4 linked regions of the Rattus norvegicus genome follow. The protein of the gene in region 1 purifies or fractionates together with the protein of each later gene. This does not show direct contact. Links are inferred from orthologs where the notes say so. Each region holds a gene or a part of one and is shown on either strand. Other genes may lie near its edges.

Evidence for each region.
Region 2: the proteins of Arrdc1 (region 1) and Nedd4 purify together in Homo sapiens (affinity purification with mass spectrometry; 3 studies listed by BioGRID and IntAct, counting the BioPlex papers as one, with this or other methods). This does not show direct contact. The link is inferred for Rattus norvegicus from reciprocal best matches to the Homo sapiens genes ARRDC1 and NEDD4.
Region 3: the proteins of Arrdc1 (region 1) and Hecw2 purify together in Homo sapiens (affinity purification with mass spectrometry; 3 studies listed by BioGRID and IntAct, counting the BioPlex papers as one, with this or other methods). This does not show direct contact. The link is inferred for Rattus norvegicus from reciprocal best matches to the Homo sapiens genes ARRDC1 and HECW2.
Region 4: the proteins of Arrdc1 (region 1) and Zmym2 purify together in Homo sapiens (affinity purification with mass spectrometry; 3 studies listed by BioGRID and IntAct, counting the BioPlex papers as one, with this or other methods). This does not show direct contact. The link is inferred for Rattus norvegicus from reciprocal best matches to the Homo sapiens genes ARRDC1 and ZMYM2.

Annotation. Positions count from the first base shown.
Region 1 is NC_086021.1:28,136,784-28,142,207, reverse strand, and holds the start of Arrdc1 (arrestin domain-containing protein 1), read left to right. Parts: upstream 1-1,960; 5' UTR 1,961-1,974; coding exon 1,975-2,092; intron 2,093-2,138; exon of another isoform or gene 2,139-2,735; intron 2,736-5,424. UniProt on the Homo sapiens protein: Functions as an adapter recruiting ubiquitin-protein ligases to their specific substrates. Through an ubiquitination-dependent mechanism plays for instance a role in the incorporation of SLC11A2 into extracellular vesicles.
Region 2 is NC_086026.1:82,270,926-82,275,609, forward strand, and holds part of Nedd4 (E3 ubiquitin-protein ligase NEDD4), read left to right. Parts: intron 1-548; coding exon of another isoform or gene 549-549; coding exon 550-714; intron 715-1,746; coding exon 1,747-1,820; intron 1,821-4,684. UniProt on the Homo sapiens protein: E3 ubiquitin-protein ligase which accepts ubiquitin from an E2 ubiquitin-conjugating enzyme in the form of a thioester and then directly transfers the ubiquitin to targeted substrates. Specifically ubiquitinates 'Lys-63' in target proteins.
Region 3 is NC_086027.1:63,071,156-63,076,462, reverse strand, and holds the start of Hecw2 (E3 ubiquitin-protein ligase HECW2), read left to right. Parts: upstream 1-1,704; 5' UTR 1,705-1,743; coding exon 1,744-2,035; intron 2,036-5,307. UniProt on the Homo sapiens protein: E3 ubiquitin-protein ligase that mediates ubiquitination of TP73. Acts to stabilize TP73 and enhance activation of transcription by TP73. Involved in the regulation of mitotic metaphase/anaphase transition.
Region 4 is NC_086033.1:35,206,126-35,210,809, reverse strand, and holds part of Zmym2 (zinc finger MYM-type protein 2), read right to left. Parts: intron 4,445-4,684; coding exon 4,273-4,444; intron 2,067-4,272; coding exon 1,941-2,066; intron 481-1,940; coding exon 386-480; intron 1-385. UniProt on the Homo sapiens protein: Involved in the negative regulation of transcription.

The sequences.
Region 1 (5,424 bases):
CAGGCCCTGAGCTGAGTTCAGGGTAGGGGGCCTGCCAGTAGGAACACCAGCCAGTAGGACCCTGTAAAAGGTAGGGACTGAGGGATGCTGGGAGAACCTGGTGACAAGGTCCATCTTAATATGTTAAGTATGGGAGGCTGGAGAGATGGCTCATCAGTTAAGAGCACCGACCGCTCTTCCAGAGGTCCTGAATTCAATTCCCAGCAACCACATGGTGGCTCACAACCATCTGTAAAGAGATCCGATGCCCTCTTCTGGTGTATCTGAAGACAGCTACAGCGTACTTATATATAATAAATGAATAAATCTTAAAAAAAAATGTTAAGTAGGCACTGCAGCCTTGCATTTGAGTTTGAAACCTAATGTGTACCACCATACCCAGCCCTCTTCCCCTTTTGTTGACAAGAATCAGATTAAGTTCTGGATCATGCCCCACCACCTAGCCAAGACGTCAGTTATTTGAACACAGATTATTTTATGTTTTAGCCCTTTGACTCCCCTAAATGCATGGGGTATCGGAGGCACCCAGGTTTTGCATATCATGGCTTCTACCACAAAGTGATTTGATCTTCCATTGAGGAACATTTTGCTAACTGTTCTAGTAACTGCCACTCCACTTTGTTTCCTTCATGTTTAACCAGGAAGCAGGGCCCCTGAGGCATCTCTGTCCTAGACTAGTACAAACTGACCCTGCCATTGTTGCTCCACTCTCATGGGTATATATTCCCATCGATTTCTGAAGTCAAAGTGAAAAATAGAAAATACTGGTAAGTTGAGACCCCATGTTAAAAAATGGCCTCAGGACAGTCATGTCAACTTACAATGGGTGACATTATCTAATACAAATCTAATACATTATATATGTATGCTTGTAGTTTAGGGGAACAGGCCTTGATTGAGCTAAACAAGTGCTGTGTCACTGAGCCACACCCCTCCACAATGACCATCTTGTAAGGCAGTGCTGACTATCTCATATAATTTAATACAATACCAAAAGGAGAACACCAGGATTGCTTAAATCGACTTTCACACTATAGTAAGATAGAACAATAAATTGTGAACATATGAATTTAAGACCTTCCTTCCAGTTCACAACCAACACCAAGACCTTTTTTAAAAATGTGATTCAGGCCGGTGGTGGTGGCACAAGCAATTATGCCAGCATTCGGACCGCAGGGCAGGGCAGAGCTCTCTAAGTTCGAAGCCAGTTTGGTCAACAGAGCGCGTTCCAGGGATACACCCTGTCTTAGGGAAAAATGTGATTCAGAATCTGTCCCTTCTCTGTTCGTGCCTTCTCGCTCCATGTCCCAAGTTTTGCAGGGGTCTCGTGTTTCTGCCCTGCGCTCTCCCAGCTCAGCGCCGGTGTTCTGGGCCGCGATTGCCCACTACTCCTCGGGAAGCCTGATGAAGGTCGCGGTACACAAAGCACGATGGCCGCGGGGCATAACTGGGGACCCACACCGCCTGAGGGCCGAGCACCTCTCGTAGCCACCTAGCGTTGAACATGGGTGCCCGGGAACCCGCTTTCGCTTACAGGTGAGCAATCCTCATCCCTGAGCACCAGAGGTCTCAAGGATCCCGTTAGGGTCTAAAGCGTAGGGGCCGCGCACTCCGTAGCCCACCCCGCTAGTCTGGGCGGGCCTTCGGGGTAGGGCAGGAGCATGACTGGCCTGTTGTGACCAGGTGCTTGTGTTCAATGAGGCAAATCTAGGAAAATGGGCGGGTCCTTGTGGAGGCGTGTCCCCCATCCATGGGCGTGTCCTCCGGTCGCAGACCAGCCCTGGAGAAGGCGGGCCTTGGATCAGAAAGGGGTGGGTCTTTGGGATGAGGGTGGGTCTTGGGGGGCACCGGCTAGTATTCCGGCCCAGGCGGGTCCTGCGGCCTGGGCGTGTCCTCTGTTGGGGAAGGGGAGGGGGGCGGGCCACGAAGCCACTGCCCTAGCAGGCGTCAGACCGCGGCGCGGGAGACCGCGGTATGGGGAGGGTGCAGCTCTTCGAGATCCGCCTGAGTCAGGGCCGCGTCGTCTACAGTCCTGGGGAGCCGCTGGCTGGGGCCGTGCACTTGCGCCTGGGAGCGCCACTACCCTTCCGAGGTGGGCGCGGGATCGCTTCGGGGGAAGTGGGTAGACGCGTTCTTACCTGCGGTGGGGCGGGGCTCTCGGAAACCGTGCGGTCAGTGGGCTCTGAGACTGGATTCTCAGTCTCCAGGAAGCCCCGGGTTACGACGGAACCGCGGGCGCCAGGGACAGGCTGTTCTAGGAGGCCCACAGAGGGCAGGGTGGGGCAGACAGCTCGGTGGCCCAGTCCTTCCGCATCTGTCCCGTCCTGTGCTCTCCGCCTAGGCGGCCAGAAGTCTGTGCGAGGGCCTAAGTGCTTGTTCACTATACTCAGGCAACCCTGGCGGTAGAAGCATGCAGGCCTTTAGTCTTCCCTTATTCAGTTGTCCAAGGTCCAAGGCACTTTACACCTGCTGGGTCCCTACCGGGAACCTAGTGTGCTCTGGGTCCTCTCTTTTCCTTGTCTCCAGGCTCTTATGCAGTACTTTCTTCAAAGACAGTTCTGGTCCAAGTGTGCAGGTTTCTATCAGGATCCACCTTCTTGCTTTCAGCTTAAAGATTATAGTTGCTGGCAAGGGGCCCTGTTCCACCGGGCAATCCCCTTTCTCCTGTCCTAAGGCCTTATGGGAGCTGAGCTGAGACCTTTGCTGATGCATAGATCTGAGACTGGGACTGGGGATCAGGTTGCTGCTTTGCCATTGACAGGGCATTCTCAGGTGCAGGCTCCTTGGTGCTGGATCCACGAATAGGGGGCCCTGTATGGGATTTGATGACTGAGCTCTCTGGGGTCAGTGGGCACTGTTGTGGCCTCTGTCTGGCACTGACTGCAAGATTATGTGGGTGTCCCTTACTCCTACACTCTCTCAGCCTACTCTGTTTTTCGTAGATCAGCTGTTTTTACAGGACCCCAAGAGGTAGCAACCCTTGTTAGTGTGTAGTACAGTTGGAAGCAGGACGAGCACAGATTTAATGGTAGAATGTATTATCTGGTGGGGATGGTCAGGTTCAAGATCTTTGGAACTGAAAGAATGGAAAGGTCTTCATTATCGTGGCCCATGGTAAGAAGCTGCTGGAAGCTAGAAGTACCAACGAGGGAAGAAGTGTCTCTGTAGAACAAAATACACACCATGATTTTCTTTAGAAAACCAGAGCTGCTATAAGGTGGAGCATGCCTTCAATCCCAGCACTTTGGGAGGCAGGTGCAGGTGGATCTCTGTGAGTTCAAGGCCAGCCTGGTCTACAGAGCTAGTTCCAGAATACCTAGGGCTACACAGAGAAACCCTGTCTCAAAAACAAAACAGCAACAGAAGAGCAGCCTCCAGTCTCCAACGGTGAACACCTGCTAGTTTGGTGGCTCCTAGTCAATTCGGTGAGTGGTGGCTGCCTTTTATTATAGCTAGAACACTGTTAGGAAGTGTACTTTATACTCGAATGACACCTTAAGGTATATATTGTTCTGTAGGCTGCCACTTGATGCTCTGTAGATGAGGATTTGCTAGAATACACTTGCCCTGGTTTCCTGGTTATGCTATGTTGCAAGGTATGAGAGGACCATGGTTGCTTCCCAGATACCTTTGCATGAGAGTGGAGGGGTAGGACTGTAGAGAGATTACTGAAAAGCAGCATAACATTATTTTAAAAGAGCCATGTCCAGTGGCTTGCAGCAACAGCAGTAGGAAGAGGAGCAGCAGAAGCAGAGTGACCACCTAGTATTCTCAGAACTCCCTCATTTCTCACGATTTATGTAGCCTTATGTAGTGCATGGTTTTTCTGCTCCAGTGATTGGAGAAGGTACATGCCTGGCTGCTGGCATTGTCCTTGGCCAGTGAGCATGGTTCTTGGAGGAATTTTTCTGGGGAAATTTTTACACCTTGATTGTGATGCTACTGAGGCAAAGGAGAAGCTCCGAATGTTTTTTGAGGAAGCAGAGGACATACTGTTTGCAAGCCCTTTTCCTCAGTCACTTCTCAAGAGAGTAAGTGACACAGGGTATGTTCACCTCAGGGGCTAGAGGATGTCCACACTGGCAGGGTCTTCCCAAGAGCCCTGTAGTGTGGGAAATGCCCAGCATTGGGAAGATCAGAGTTGCATCCCCCTACTCCCAGTTTGCATGTGGCTTGTTTTCCTGGAATCTGGTGGTCTCATGCTCCTTTGCCTGAACTGTAGGAGGTCCAGACTGGGCTGATTGTTGTTCTAGGCAATGCTATATGAGACTCCTGTTGAATAGTATAGGACTGGAGACCTGACGGGTGTCCTGGCATGTACAGGTGCAAACACAGAGGTTGGCCCTGTGTCACTGTGTGGCTTCTCCATTCCCTCCCCAGTATGAGTCAAAGTACTTAGCAGTTGTCATTCTGACCAGGAAACATGTAAGTCACCTGGGTTTCCCCTGGTTTCTGGTGCGGCTGGTGCTGGTTCCAGTTATCTATTGCTACAAAAGGTCATTCAAATAACAAACCACCCTGCACTAAACGCTAAAGCAACCAGTTTGCTATTGCTCCTACATCAAGTGTGAAGACTTCGAATAGCACCCACCGTGCCAGTTATTGTAGGCACCCTCATAGCACCATGGCAGCACCTGGACTAAACTAAGCCCTGCAGATGGATGTTTTCCGTACCTGTGTGGGGCCAGTCACCCTTAGAGAGATGTTCCCTTTGTGAAGCATCTTCAGTCCTTTAGCAGACCTTTGAACCTCCTCTTATCCCTGTCATCTCAAGAATTATTTCCTGGCCTAAGCTGCCACTAGTGTTTAGATGGCAGAAGGAGTGCGTGCATTTCTTTCTTTCTTTTTTTTTTTTTTTTTTTTTTTTTGGTTCTTTTTTTCGGAGCTGGGGACCGAACCCAGGGCCTTGCGCTTCCTAGGCAAGCGCTCTACCACTGAGCTAAATCCCCAGCCCGAGTGCGTGCATTTCAAACCAGGTTGGAGGTTAGAGTTGTGAGGTTGGGCTGACATGGAGGGTGACAGACAGACACTGGCATTTCCAAGGACAGAGAGTAGTACAGCAGGAATGCAGAACAGTCTCAACAGTAGGGACAGGCACTGGCAGCCATCAGGTGAGGGAGTGTTAGCCTGTTAACGGTTCTCTATAGGCTCTGCCCAACAGTCACCTAGCAACAGCCAGGTAGGCCTGACTTGCTATAAAAAGGACTGTTAGCCTCTCTTCTCTCACTCTGACCCCTTTCTCCTTTTCTCCCTACCTCCTTCCACCCTCCCCTCCACCTGTTCCCAGCTGGCCTCTTCTCTCTCTCTCTCTCTCTCTCTCTCTCTCTCTCTCTCCCTCCTTCTCTGCCTATACTCCCTTTTCAACCCCCTTTCCCATTCCCCCAAATAAACTTCATCCTATACTAGAGCAGTCCCATGGCTGAT
Region 2 (4,684 bases), on another chromosome or scaffold:
ATGAATGTGGTTTTACCAGGCTGTGCACTGAGTTTATGGAAGTTTTCATTATACTGAACTGCCCTACAGACTTTTTAGGCAGAGATTCCAAACAATGTAAGAAAAGCTGACTAATGGCCAGCAGGTCTCTGCTCTTGACTGGCTATGATGTGAGACCTGTTTGGATTCTTGCTTTGACTTCCCCTCCATGACAGACTGAGGAATTTGTAAGCCAAATAAGTCCGCTAAGTTGCTTTTTGTTGGGATATTTTTTCCCAGTTGCTGAAATGAATCCAGTTTTTGGATTTAAACTATTTGTAGTCTGTATGATAGTTAAGAGAGAGTGTATCACTCCAGTCCACAGCTTGGAAACATTGCCTTCATTTCCTTTTTACACATGCACAGATAGACTCACATCCAACTTTTTACTTGCTGAGCCATTGAGAATAAGTTACAGAGTTTGTGCCATTTTCCCCTGAATATTTTGTTATGTATCACTTTAGAAAGTGTAATATTTTTATTAATTTGTTGAGAATTTCATAATAATGTATTTTTTTTTAATTTTTACGGGTATGGGAGTTCTGTCTGGATAAGAATGAAGAGGGTGGTGGATCCCCCGGAAGTGATGTCACAGATACTTGTGAGCCACCATGTGGATGCTGGGAGTTAAATCCGAGTTCCCTGGAAGAGGAGCACGTGCTTTTCACTGCCGATCCATATCTCGAGCTTCACAATGTACGTTTTTAAAATTTTTATTTATGTGTATGGATGTTTTGTTTGTATGTGTGTCTGTATATGGTGTGTGTTCCTAGTGTCCATAGAGACCAGAAGAGGGCTTCTTCAGCCAGAACTTGGAACTGGACATATAGTTGGTTGTGAGTGACCATGTAGGTGCTGGGAATTGAATCCAGGTCCTCTGGAAGAACAGCTGATGCTTTTTACTACTGAGCCATTTCTTAGCCCCACGATTGATTGACTGATTGATTGATTGATTGATTTCTTTTGAGGCAAGGTCTCATTATATAGCCCCAACTAGCCTGAAACTTAACTCTGTAAACCAAGCTGGTCTTAAATTATTGTCATGTTGACGCCAAGGGATTAGAGTGGTTCATCACCTCACCTAGCCATACACAATGTAATTTGACCATTCTCGCCCCTCCAACTCCTCACCCAGCTCCCCTTAGATGAGACGTCTCTTTTAAGACAAGGAAGTTCTCCCATAGGACCTCATTCCACTGTGACCTGCTAGGTCATTGCTATTTGACATATCATAGTGCGCTCACTGTTATTTATAAACTCTTTAATGAGACTTAAAATTGCCTTTTCTTAGTAGTTATTACATGATTATGATGAGCTTCTGATTTTATGTTGTGAACGTGGTAACAATGGAGACTTCCTTAGTTACCATTGTCATTAGTTTTTTTTTTTTTTTTGGTTCTTTTTTTTTTGGAGCTGGGGACCGAACCCAGGGCCTTGCGCTTCCTAGGCAAGCGCTCTACCACTGAGCTAAATCCCCAGCCCCCTTTAAATTTTTCTTATAAATTTTAAGGCTAAATTCTTATTGTGTGTAATAACTTGACTCTAGTTCTTTGCTTTTTGTGTGTGTGATCAAATGTATCTAAAAATGATAAATTTTGTTTTTATCTTCTTTTATATACCTTTTAATCAGATTACTTATTTTTAAATATTCTCCAAATTTAGTATTCTGGTTATCATTGTATTAGATAACTTGTAATTACTTAAGTAAAACCACCCTTTGCATTTTAGGATGACACGCGAGTTGTGAGAGTGAAGGTTATAGCTGGCATAGGTCTGGCCAAGAAAGACATCTTGGGAGCCAGGTAAGTATGATATGTGGGTTTGGAGTTTAAAGAAATAATATTTCTTTCTTGGACTTTGATTAAATGAAAATCTGAATGATAATAACAAATTTTGGTGTACAGTGAGGACCTTACAGGTTAGGTGGTTGATTATTTTCTTGGTATCTGTAATAGTGATCAGTGATAGTTATAGATTTTTTTATTTTAAGTCTCTAAATCCTTTAGCAGATAATAACCACCATAATCTCTGGGTGCAATAGAAAAAGTACCTCTGAGCATCAAATGAGCAGAGCGGGAGTACTGGGGCGAGCCACATGAGAGCGAAGCAGTGGTGTGGAGTGGTTCCCTTATGGGAATTAGTCTGAAGCCAGGGAGAATTACAACCTGGAACGGGAGAGGTAGTCCCACAGCCTGAAACCCTGGAGCAGGTTGGACTCTCGTGGTGGAGAAATGAGAAGAACAGATTGGAAGGAAGCATGGCAGTGGTAAGGAAAAGATTTGTACCCTCAGCTGGTGTCAGACGATCTGAGCGGAGAGCTATTGGCCCAATAGAGTTTGTGACCCTTGTCCAAACAAGGTAGATAAACATGGAAAAATAACAGAACCTAGATTCTCTGTAACTAACTCAGCTTACAATGTCCGGGACACAACATGTAGTCACCTGGTCTGTGGAGAGACAGGGAAGTGGAGCACAGTAAATGTCAGTCAATAAAGAGTCTGTGAGCAGAGTGTGCTGGGAGGCAGAGGCGGGAAGACCTCTGAATTCAAGGATTGTCTGAGTCCAGGGCTGCCAGGCCTACATAGCGAGACAGTGTCTTCAGGAAACAAAAACTGGGCCAAAGGGAAGAGTATATGCTCATGGTCAGTCAAAACCTTGGAAGTTTCAGGAATGAAGTAGAGACAGACAGACAGACAGACAGACAAACAGGGAAATTCTACAACTAAAATATATTTGAAATTAAAGTACTTTGGTTGATTATGATAACTGAATGGATACATAGAGCAAAGATGAACTGAATATAGATTAATGGGAATCATTTACCAATTAGAAGATGATAAAGAAGAAAGGTCTGGGGGTTGGGGATTTAGCTCAGTGGTAGAGCGCTTGCTAGGCCCTGGGTTCAGTCCTCAGTTCCGAAAAAAAGAACAAAAAAAGAAAAAAAAAAAAGAAGAAAGGTCTGTTTTAACTACGTTCCAGAAAGACCAGAGAGCTAAATAATGAAATAAAATATTTTTAAAGAGTAAGTGTCTAAATCTGGAAACAATAAATGAAATATACAACTGGACTGGAGTGTTGGCTCGGCATTCCGGAATTGCTCTTACTGAGGATTCCCAGGGACCCGCCTGTGACCAACTCCAGGGGATCTGGCGCCCTCATGTGGCCTCCACAGGCACTGCACTCACAAGTACACATACAAATCTTTTAAAGAAGAAATGTTAAAGCAGGTTAAAGTTCCTGGTGAAGAGAGGAAAAGCATCAGAAGCAATAAATACCTGGAATCTTCAGACACTTTTAAATTAAAAGTTTTATTTTTGTGTGAGGGTGTTTTGTCTTCATGTATATGTGTGTATGCCTGATATTCATAGAGGTGAGAAGAAGGTATTGAGTCCCCTGGAACTGAAGTTACAGATGTCTGTGATCTGCCATGTTTGTGCTGGGAATCAGACTTAGGTCCCTTGCAAGAGCAGTAAGTGCTCTTAACCTTATACAGAATCCATTGGACTCGGGACTCCCAACCTTCTCTTAGGGATTTATATAGATGAAAAAAATACCCATGGGAATTACAGCACAAAGGACGGACGTGTCTGCTGTGACCCTGTGTGGGAGAACGGTGCCATAGAAAGCAAAGGCAAAGTGAATCACTAAAAAGTAGGAGACATGGGGCTGGGGATTTAGCTCAGTGGTAGAGCGCTTACCTAGGAAGCGCAAGGCCCTGGGTTTGGTCCCCAGCTCCGGAAAAAAAAAAAAAAAAAAAAAAGAACCAAAAAAAAAAAAGTAGGAGACATAAATAAGCCATCTGTCAGCGGTGAGGCAAAGAACACTAGGTTTTATAAGAGCAGACATTTGCAGGGTTTTTGTTGTAGTTTTGTTTGTTGACAGAATTTCTCTATGTCCCTGGCTATCCTGAAACTTGTTCTGTAGCCCAGGCTGCCCTTGAACTCAGGTCTGCCTGCCTATTTCTCTCAGTTGCTGGAATTAAGGGCATGAGCCAGTGCCACCATAGCTATGCAAGCACAGTTGTACACCATAGCTGTAAAAGAAATTTTAAAATGAAATTCTTGAAATAATTAAAAAGCCAATACAAAACAATTTTTTTAATGGTGACAGGACAAAGGAAGGAAAACATGCATTCATATATTGTTTCTAATTATGTAATAATTATATTCATGTAATACATGAAACATTGATGGGATAAGTAAATGTTGGGCAGAAATTAGAAAATAAAACTTAATAAATGTGGTGAAAGCGACTGTAATTCCACCACTCAGCAGGAATTCTAGGCCAGGCTGAGTTACACAGCGATACCTTTACAACTAGAGCGGTCTGTGTTGAATCCCTGGTGGTGGGGGATGTGGGGGGCATGGATCAAGGAGGGCACAAAGATCCGGTAGTCATTAGTAGAGGGTGTGTTGGCACGAAGAGACAGGCATGTTCTAGGTGCTTGCTGGATTCTAGAGAATTCTAGATCTTGCTTCAGAGCACCTACATCGACTGGCTTACAACTGTGTGTAAATCCAGCTCCCAGAGATGCAGCCCTCTCATGCCTGTGGCAGGCACTACATATACACAACACAGAAGCATGCATTGTGTGCACATAAATAATGAAACTCTCTTTAAAAAACATACACTTAAATACAGCTTAATAATTGATACAGCTAAGTTG
Region 3 (5,307 bases), on another chromosome or scaffold:
AAATTGGCCTTTGGACATACCTGTGGGGCATTTTCTTGGTTGCCAATTGATGTAGAAGGGTCAAGTACACTATGGGCAGCTTCACCCCTAGGCAGATTGACCAGTGTCATGGAAAAAGTACAGGTCACCATGAGCCAGGGAACAAGCTAGGAGCCAGCATTTCTCCCCGGTCTCTGATTCTTTCGGTTTCTGCCTCCACATTCCTGCTTGAGTTTCTGTCCTGGCTTCCCTTGATGATGGACTGAAAACTGTAAGCTGAAGTGAACCCCCTTTCCTTCCCTTTTTGTCATGGTATGATGTTATCATCACAACAGAAAGCCATCAGGACATGAATTTCACCCAAACTATGAAATGGATGGGGAAACAAGAGAAGATGGGGAGCCCTTTCTCCCCCTTTTTTTGCTCGCAGACTCAGTATCCAAGGTTCATGGCTGTGTTACAATTAGGACACTGGCGAGTATTAGTTTGCTTTGAAGTAGAATGTCATGCCAACTTTTCAGGAGTCAATAGTTTAGCTTCAAAGAAAACATTCAAAAGATTGCAACAGTCTGAGTGCACAGATTAGGTGTTAAAGCCTGTTTTTGTTGGAAAGCAGTGTGGGAGAAAAGCAGATTTACTCTAGTATTCGCTCTGGGTGAGGTAACCCATGGGCAAGGCGGAGTTAATTACCAGGAGACAGAACCTCACAGGCACTGGGCAAAAGGACAGATGTCTTAGAAAGAGTCCCATAAGCAGTGTAATAGCAGGGGACTCACAGTGAGCAAGTGAGGCTGGATACAAGGCTCGACAGGGCAAGTCTGTTCCTTTCTGGAGACCAAATGGATGCTAAAGGCCAGCGCCCATCATGATCTAGGTGGTAGGAATAGTTTGTGCCGTTGGGAGCTTCAGGGTAACAAGAAGCAGGCTCAGAAGAGAGCATGGAGATGTGAGTCATGCCGCAGTCTCTGGGGTAAAGGTGCTAGCTTTTCCTGTCTGTCCAGTTAACAGATATGGGTCCCACCTGCTGCATTCCCAGTGCCACTGTACGTACTGGGGATAAAATAGTGACAAAACATGAAACTCACTGCTTTGGCGAAACCCCCGTGCGTATTAGGGGGAATGGACAATGGGTAAGAGAGTGCTCATATGGCAAACCAGACCTTACGGAGAAACAGAAAGGTTGACTTCCAGGATGTTGTCATTCTGCATATAATGGTCCCTCTATTTTTAAGTGCAGAGGTGGCATTTGAGCAAGGTCCTGAAACTGTGGCCAGAGAGCTACGTTCCGCTCGGCAGGAGAACTGAAGCAATGGGCAGTACCTCAGAAGGAATCATCAACTGTGTTTGACATGTATCTTGCTGGTTGAAAGCGTAGTTGCAGGAGATAAATAGCACATGTGGGACAGGAAGGGGAAAGAGGGTGGTGGACTATGTGGGAATGCAGATCTAAGAGGGATCTATAGAAAAGCCCCTCCCCCTTACTTTCTTGGAAAAGCTATGCCAAGGGAAACCGGGGGCCAGAGGTATATGACAGTCATCTTGTGATCGCTGTCCTAGAAATTTTTTCTGATATTATCAGGTGAGTATAGGATGGTGTCTTTTATTTCCACAGCAGATTATTGTATGTTGAGGTTGTGATAAACTCTCCTTCAGGCTTTCTATCTGGGATGTTTGATTCTAACTCCTCACCTTTTTGCGCTAATATTTTATGCTTGTCGGTCTCTTGCAGCTTTGTAGGAAAACAACCTCAGAGAGGCAGACAGGATGGCAAGCTCAGCCCGGGAGCATTTGCTTTTTGTGCGGCGTCGAAATCCACAGATGCGGTACACACTGAGCCCAGAGAACCTTCAGAGCCTCGCAACCCAGAACTCAATGCCCGAGAACATGGCCCTGCAGCGAGCCAACAGTGACACCGACCTCGTGACCTCCGAGAGCCGCTCCAGCCTGACTGCCAGCATGTATGAGTACACACTGGGGCAAGCCCAGAACCTCATTATCTTCTGGGACATTAAGGAAGAGGTTGACCCCAGCGATTGGATCGGACTCTATCACATAGGTGAGTCGGGTGAAGGCTTGCGTGTGGCTCGGCACGGCTTTCAACTCTGAAATGGTAATGTTCTGTGTTTTCTCCTGCTGTAAAAGGAAGCAAACTTTTTCACACAAATAGACAAAGCTGATTCTGGACGTGTTCTTCGTTCCTTGGGAGGAGAGTTCCTTTACTTATATGCATCTTGTGGTTCTATTTCTACTGAATTAAATGTCAGCCCCTGTGTGCACCACTGGATTTTCTCTTCAGTTTCTCGCTGGTCTTGAGACAAAGTTATGACTTGGAAAGAGGAGTGGGGGTTATTAACACCAGTGAACACTGTTAAACTAATACGGAAACAGTTTGCATTTTCTAAAGGTTGATTTCACTTAAAATAATCTGCAGCCTGGGTATCTTTTTATAAATGGGAATCATTGCCTATTTGTTTTGATAAAACAGTCCCAGTTTTGCTTAACTATATTCAAATCTGTTATTCATATCTGAATGAATGGTGACTGACACTTCCCAGAAAATACAAGTTAGTATTATTTGAATGCAAGCACCATACCTACCAATTAATCTTAAATACGTTTTCAATCTAACATAATAATAAAATCCAGCATTACTTAAAGTTGGAAAATTTTGTCTCCAAATGAAGAAAATTACTTTATAATTAATATCTGATATTGATTTCAATGTAAGCATCTTGTTTCGGTTGCATACTTGTAAACAAGGAGTCCTGTGTTGATACCCTTACAACTAAAGCTTTTTACATAAGGCTCATTTTGCCCCCTAGAGGACACTCGCGGTGTGTGGAGGGATTTTTGATGGCTGTATTTTTTTCTCTGTAGTGGGATTAGAACACAGCATTGCATGTACAGGAGAGCTCTTCTGCCCCAGGAGTCCCCTGTCCAACTTTGAAAACCCTGATTTAAGGCAAGCCTACATCCTTGCTGAACTTCTGTTAGGATATTAAACCTACTGAAACTGGAGTTCTTTGGGGACTAAGAATTTTCTTTTAAAGAGGTTATCCGTTATATTAACTTTGTAACTCTCAATGATTAATCATGCTGGATAGTAAGAAAAAAATCCAAAATAGAAACAATTTCAATGAATTAGTAACTTTCTTGTTTTCCCTCTTATGATAACAAAGAGTAGTAGGGAAAAGTCTTTAAAGTTGTTTATTTTCTTTGGGTGTATTTAAGTACATAGTAGAGTGAGGAAGGCATACAATTTAAAGTCCTTGTCTATATTATTGTGACTGTGAAAGAGCTTATAGTTTTGTGGGATGTCAGTCTCCTTTGGGCTCCATAACATTTGTTTTTACTTTTCTTAACTTTCTTTTTTTCTTTTACATTTTAGATTTTATAAGCAAAAAAATCCTTAAATCTCCCTATGATATTGCAAATAGAAAATGGTGATTTAAAATATTTTATATGATGTTTCTTGGGAAAATAGTTAAATTTTACTTTCTCATATAAGATTAATTTTACATACGTGACTGACAGTCTTAGTGCTAGAATCATACGGCCATTAATTCGGGATTATGTACTATTTTCTCATGCTTTCTTATTGTTCATCCCCTCAAACTGTTACATTTTCCTGTCTAATTGGGATAAGTAAGGGACAAAAACATAGGTTTCATGTTCTGTGTTTTACCTGCTGAGGAAGGAGTGTGTGTCAGAGTTAATGAAGACCTGAACTAGGAAAGCAGGGGTGGGAAGAGAATCTCTTATGAGTGTTAGCTCTTTTTAAAGAAGCTCCTGTACCTTCTCACACAAATCACCCTTGTTCTTTACATTGGTTTCCATTAGTGTGACTATAACACGTTTATATTTAATTTTCTTTTTTTTTTTCCGGGAGCTGAGGACCAAACCCAGGGCCTTGCACTTGCTAGGCAAGCGCTCTACCACTGAGCTAAATCCCCAACCCCTATATTTAATTTTCACTTTAGTTATGTTGGCTGGAATATGTAAAATTTATGTTAATAAAGCTTTTGATGAATTTGGGAAACTTTGCTACTTTTTCTTCTATTTTTCTTTCTTCTTTTTCTTTTCTTTTCTTTTCTTTTTTTTTTTGAAACAGGGTTTCTCTGTGTATTCCTATCTGTCCTGGAACTAACTCTGTAGACCAGGCTAGTCTCAAACTCATAGAGATCTGGTTCCACTGCCTCCTGAGTGCTGGGATCAAAGGTATGTGCCACCAATGCCTGACTCCATTTTTTTCCTTAATGTGAGTTTTAAAAAACTATTACTTTTTACTGAGACCTATATTATATTATTTCACATTGTTCTACAAGGTATTTGTGGGTTTTGATCCATTTTTTATCCATCTATTTTCTCCATGATATTCACATTTCCTAGTTTATTCTTCTCTGTCTTTCTCCTCTTCCTTTTCCTCCTTCACACAGACACGCAGAGACATGCGCGTGCGCGCGCGCGCGCACACACACACACACACACACACACACACACACACACACACACACGAGCATTAGAAACAGGGTCTCTTGTGTTCCAGGGTTGCCTGACATTGCTATGTAGCTGAGGATGACCTTGAATTCCTGATTCTTTTTCATTTACCTCCCAAGTGCTGAGGTGATAGGAGTAGACCACCACACCAGCTCTGTTTGTCCTCAAGTTTATTAGCCTTTCCCCCTTTTCTTTATACTGAGCCAGTCCCACTTGGTGGATTTTAAATTTTCAGGTAGTTAACTGTTTTTTTAAAAAGATTTATTTATTAACTATATATGAGCACACTGTAGCTCTCTTCAGACACTCCAAATGAGAGAGTCAGATCTCATTACAGATGGTTGTGAGTCACCACACAGTTGCTGGGATTTGAACTCAGGACCTCAGGAAGAGCAGTCAGTGCTCTTAACCACTGAGCCATCTCTCCAGCCCAGTAGTTGACTTTTTAACTTCTAGAATTCTCACAGATCTCTGGCAGGACAGAGTAGGAAGAAGCAATTACCCCAAACCCTGAAGGGGCTGTGCGAACACAAACTAGTACTTAACTGGAAATGCCTAGTAAGTAGACAGATGTTTGCTCTTCTTGTGCTTGCTGCTAATCTTACGAGATCTTCCACAAGAAATGCTCTTAAAAAACACAGGTGCCACACCAGTAGCATTAAACGTAATCTATTTCTGGAGTCCCAGGGCCACTGCTATATTTGAAAAGATGGAGGACTGATTTGGTTTACCTGGGTCTTCAAATGGAGTGGACAGAGACCTGGCTTTTAGCAGAAGTAACCCTTATTTTTCAAGGGTGGAAAGGCTCTTTTCCCCTTACTTCTGGGGGAG
Region 4 (4,684 bases), on another chromosome or scaffold:
AGTTCCCCAAATGTCTTCCTCTCTGTGTTGGCATGCTTAAAAATAAACTACATCTCTCTTCATTAATTAACCTCATCCAAACTGATGAGAAATTTAATCCACTGAAAATCACCAACCCCTTCTCCTTTCTCCTTTCCATTGAGACAAATGCAGTGGTTATAGCTATGTGCCACCATGCTCACTCAGAAAATAATCTTTGTTATTGTCTGAGTTGAATTTTCTTTTTATGTCAACTATTTTCCATTTTGACATTATATTAAGATGAATTTAATATCTATCTCCCCATATTGTCAGGCCCAAGATATCCCCAAAGCATCTTTCTCTGACATGCTGCTACAGCGATGTTAAATGAATAAAAAATATAAAACATTAACAAATTCTATACCTTTTTTTTAGATCGAGGTCTGGGCTGCTCCTCATATTCTTCCCCAAAAACTGGTGGTAATAAAAACTCATTTTCCATATCAAGTTCCTCTGCAGCTGACAAATTAGAAAATATCTTACTTCAAATATAACAGTACAAGATTCTGCTACATAAACACGGCCAATAAAGAGTCCCGTGACATGAAGGATCATCCAGACATGGGGTAAGTCTCAGCGAGGCGAGGCACAGGGAGACTCATACTTAACATGGTGTTGAGTTTTGCTAAACTATTTGATAAACTAAAAACCAAATGTAGCAAGTATCAATCAGTACAGAAGCATCACAGAACTGTATGATACTAGAAAAAGGAAAACAACTATAAAACTAGTTAGAAGATCTAAAAGTGCCAATCTTGTTCAATCTCTTGTCTTTTTCGTAGAATGCTTTACACTTCATTCAGTAGGAATTTATAAATTAGGGGAAAATGAGAACAGGAACACATTTGTCTGTCTGTGGCCTGGAACCTACTTTACAGAGTCTACACTTCACAACCCTCCTACCTTAGCAACAGGACTGCAGGAATGTACTATCACAAGGCTTTCAAACACTTGTCTTTTTTGAGACGGACCCTTATTAATTAAATCAGACTGACCTCACAACCTGACAGTAGCTGCCCTTAACTTAAGTTCTGCCCCCGTCTCCCAGGGCTGGGACTGTAGAGCATGCCAAGCTATCCGGACGGACGAGACGGAAGACGTCTACACTTCATCTGCACTAACCAGCAGCGAAAGGGAGCGTGTCGCTCTCTTTTTTTATTTTAAAGATTTACTTTATGTATGAGACGGAAGACGTCTACACTTCATCTGCACTAACCAGCAGCGAAAGGGAGCGTGTCGCTCTCTTTTTTTATTTTAAAGATTTACTTTATGTATGAGTGCACTGCCACTGTCCTCAGACACACCAGAAGAGGGCATCAGATCTGATTACAGATGGTTGTGAGCCACCATGTGGTTGCTGGGATTTGAACTCAGGACCTCTGGAAGAGCAGTCAGTGCTCTTAACCACTGAGCCATCTCTCCAGCCCTGAGCATACATCTGTTAAAGAAGTAAATGTATTTCTTTTCCTTTAAATATGAATTTAACTTTCAAGAACATTAAGAAAAATGCTACCAAGCTATACATTTGACACGTACCTATAATCCCAGCATGAGAGGCTGGGAGAAGGCATGCTTTGAGTTGGGGGCCAGTCTGAATTATATAGCAAAACCCTATCATGATTCCTACCTCTACGCTAATACTATCAATACCTCTGAATTGAAAAAATACAAGTATTGTATTCTTCTCTAGTTTCTAAAGTTCCTGCAATTAATTCAGTTTTATTTGGAGAAATAAAAAAGAAAAGGAGGAAGAATGTAGCTAAGTGGAAAAGTACATGCAGCATCCTCCACTACAAAGGACACACGGAAAAAAGAAACAATTATGAGGATAAGAGGTAATTTTACTAACACTGTTGATCAATTACCTTAAATACAACCATATAACTTGATTTAATAATGATAAAGTAGTATTTAAGTACCTCTGGGGAAATCTATTTCAATATCCAAATCTGGTTCATATGGTACATCGGGCATGTTGGATTGTATATCTGAGTCAGAGTTCTTTGTAAGATCTGAGCCAATTATGTCTGTCTCAATAATTACACCTGTAACCAAGCAATAATATCATTAGAAATCAAATTAAAAAAAAAAAACTTAATAGTATCTGTACTTAAGCTCCCAAAGGAAAAAGTAGAAAAGTTAATATAAAACAACTCCCGTGTGTGTGTGTGTGTGTGTGTGTGTGTGTGTGTGTGTGTGTGTGTGTGTGTGTGTGTGTGTGGTGGGGGTGGGGAGGACACATACATTACTTGCCAGTGTGATGTAAGTGCTTCCAGACAGGAATGCATGTGGAGACCAGAGGCTGACCAGAGTCCTGTGTTTTTCTTTGTTTGATGGATCCATCTTCCCTTCCTAATCTGTCAATTCACACTAGGGTTAGACACAAGCCACTGTGCCTGATCTTTTAAATAGGTTCGGAGGATCCAAATTCAGGTTCTCATCTCATTCTTATATGGCAGGCACTTTACTGAGTGGGCCATTTCCCCATGTCAATATTCATAAAACAATTCTTTATCAGAAATAAACTTATGGAAATAAACAACTATGGTTTTCAAACAGTATTTTTGAATTTTGACCAAGTTTACACATACTTAGTATATGCTTGTTAATAGCTACCATATGTTTCGATGAACTGTTTAACTGTTTTGCCGTAGTTATAAATGCATTCTATCTAATATATACTAGAATGACAATAGGTCTCCAGACAGAAATTAAGACAAACGTATATAATTAGGAAACAAAGGCGTTCACAAACCCACCTAACTCTTCTCTGAAGGATTCAGACATGGCTTCCCATTCTTTTTCCCATGAGGTATGTAGTGTCATATACTGGACACACCTAGAACTCACGTTCCAACACCTGAGCGCAGGGACTAAGTGGGTGTCTGTATTTTATTCTTAATTAAAAATGAACACCACACTAGGTGGTGGTGGCACATGCCTCTAACCCCAGCACTTGGGAAGTAGAGACAAAGGGATCTCTATGAGATCCAGGCCAGCCTAGTCTACAGCACTAATTCCAGGACAGCCAAGATTAGACAAAGAAACCCTGTCTCAAAAAACAAACAAACAAACAAACAACAACAAAAATCATACCACTAAGTACAATCCACTTCATTTGACAACCTCTGAGAATACTGCAAAACAACTTCTACACTTTTCTTCTGGTATAAAAGCAATTAGACAGTTCAGGACTAAAAATGGATTCTAAATATTACCAGAAGACTACGGATAGGAAGGAATAAATGTTCAAAAGGACAGAGTTGCCCAACAAAACACTCATATTAAATCACACCACTATGTAGCAGTGTCCTAAAAGAAAGTAGGAAAAATTCTGGTTTAGATAAATATAATATAAATATAATAAAGCAAATTATATTTGATTAGTATAAAAAATAAAATATTACTAGAAATAACGATCACAAAATAAAATCTTAGAAACCTAAGAAAAATAACTGAACTGAATTCAAATCCTATTACTATTAAAACAAAACAAAATAAAAAAATAGGGAGTGAGTGAATTAGAAGCAATGGCTGCTCTTGCAAAGGACCAAAGTTCAGTTCCCAGCCCTTACATGGTGGCTCATAATCTATAACTCCATTTTCAAAGGATATAATGCTCTATCTTCTGAACTCCACAAGTGCCAGGCATACACACATGCAACTCTCAAACACATAAAGAAATCTTACCAAAACAAACAAACAAACAAACCCACCCAACTTTTGTTTCTAAGAAAAGGTAATCTTATCTACTTCAGAAGATGACACTGAAGACTTCTTGAGGCCAAGAGTTTATTGCCTCGGACACATTCTAAGTCTCCATCTCAAAATAAAACAAAATATTCCACTAGAGATCAAGCTTAGCATTAGAGCAAACCTGGTTCAAGTTGGAGTGTGTATTCCTCTTTATTAAAAAATTGTGTTGTTTTATGTGTACAGGTATTGTACATGTATGTATATCTGTGCACCACTTGCATGTCTTATGCCTGTGAAGGCCAGAAGAGGGCAGGGGAATCTCTGGAACTGGAATTAAAGAAAGATATGTGGGTGCTGGGAACCAGATCCAGGTCTTCTGCAAGAGTAACTAGTACTCTTAACCACTGAGGCAAAGTGTGTTATTTCTTAATATAAAATATTTCTGCTATAATCCTTTTTCCTGCTACAGGATATGCCTTTAAGTATTGTAAAGATGACAATACATAGACCCCGTCCCCCAAACCTCTTGCTGACAAACTGAATAGTGTAGCTTACTGTTGATATTAGATGCCTCTGTTTTCCCCTCCTCTTCAGTCATCATATCCGTCATTGTAAGCAATTCTGTATCAAGAGGATCTGAAGACACTTTGCTTTTGAGGTCCTCAACTGAGGCAGGAATCTTCTCACTGTTCTCCAATGGAGCAGGCAAAAACACAGGAACGGGCACCTAACCAAAGCATTGTTAATATTAGGCAAACTAAACAATACAAGCTAGTTTCTGAAATTAGATGCATGACCTACTACTATATAAATACATTATTGAAGAAAGTCTTTAGCAAGACTAAATATCAAAACTAAGAAGCCTACCATGACAAGAAAATCCCAGAATACAAATACTTTAAAAATAAAATTAAGAGAAAAGAAGTCAAGCTCAAACATAGTATTTTAAATATTACATGTGATTTGT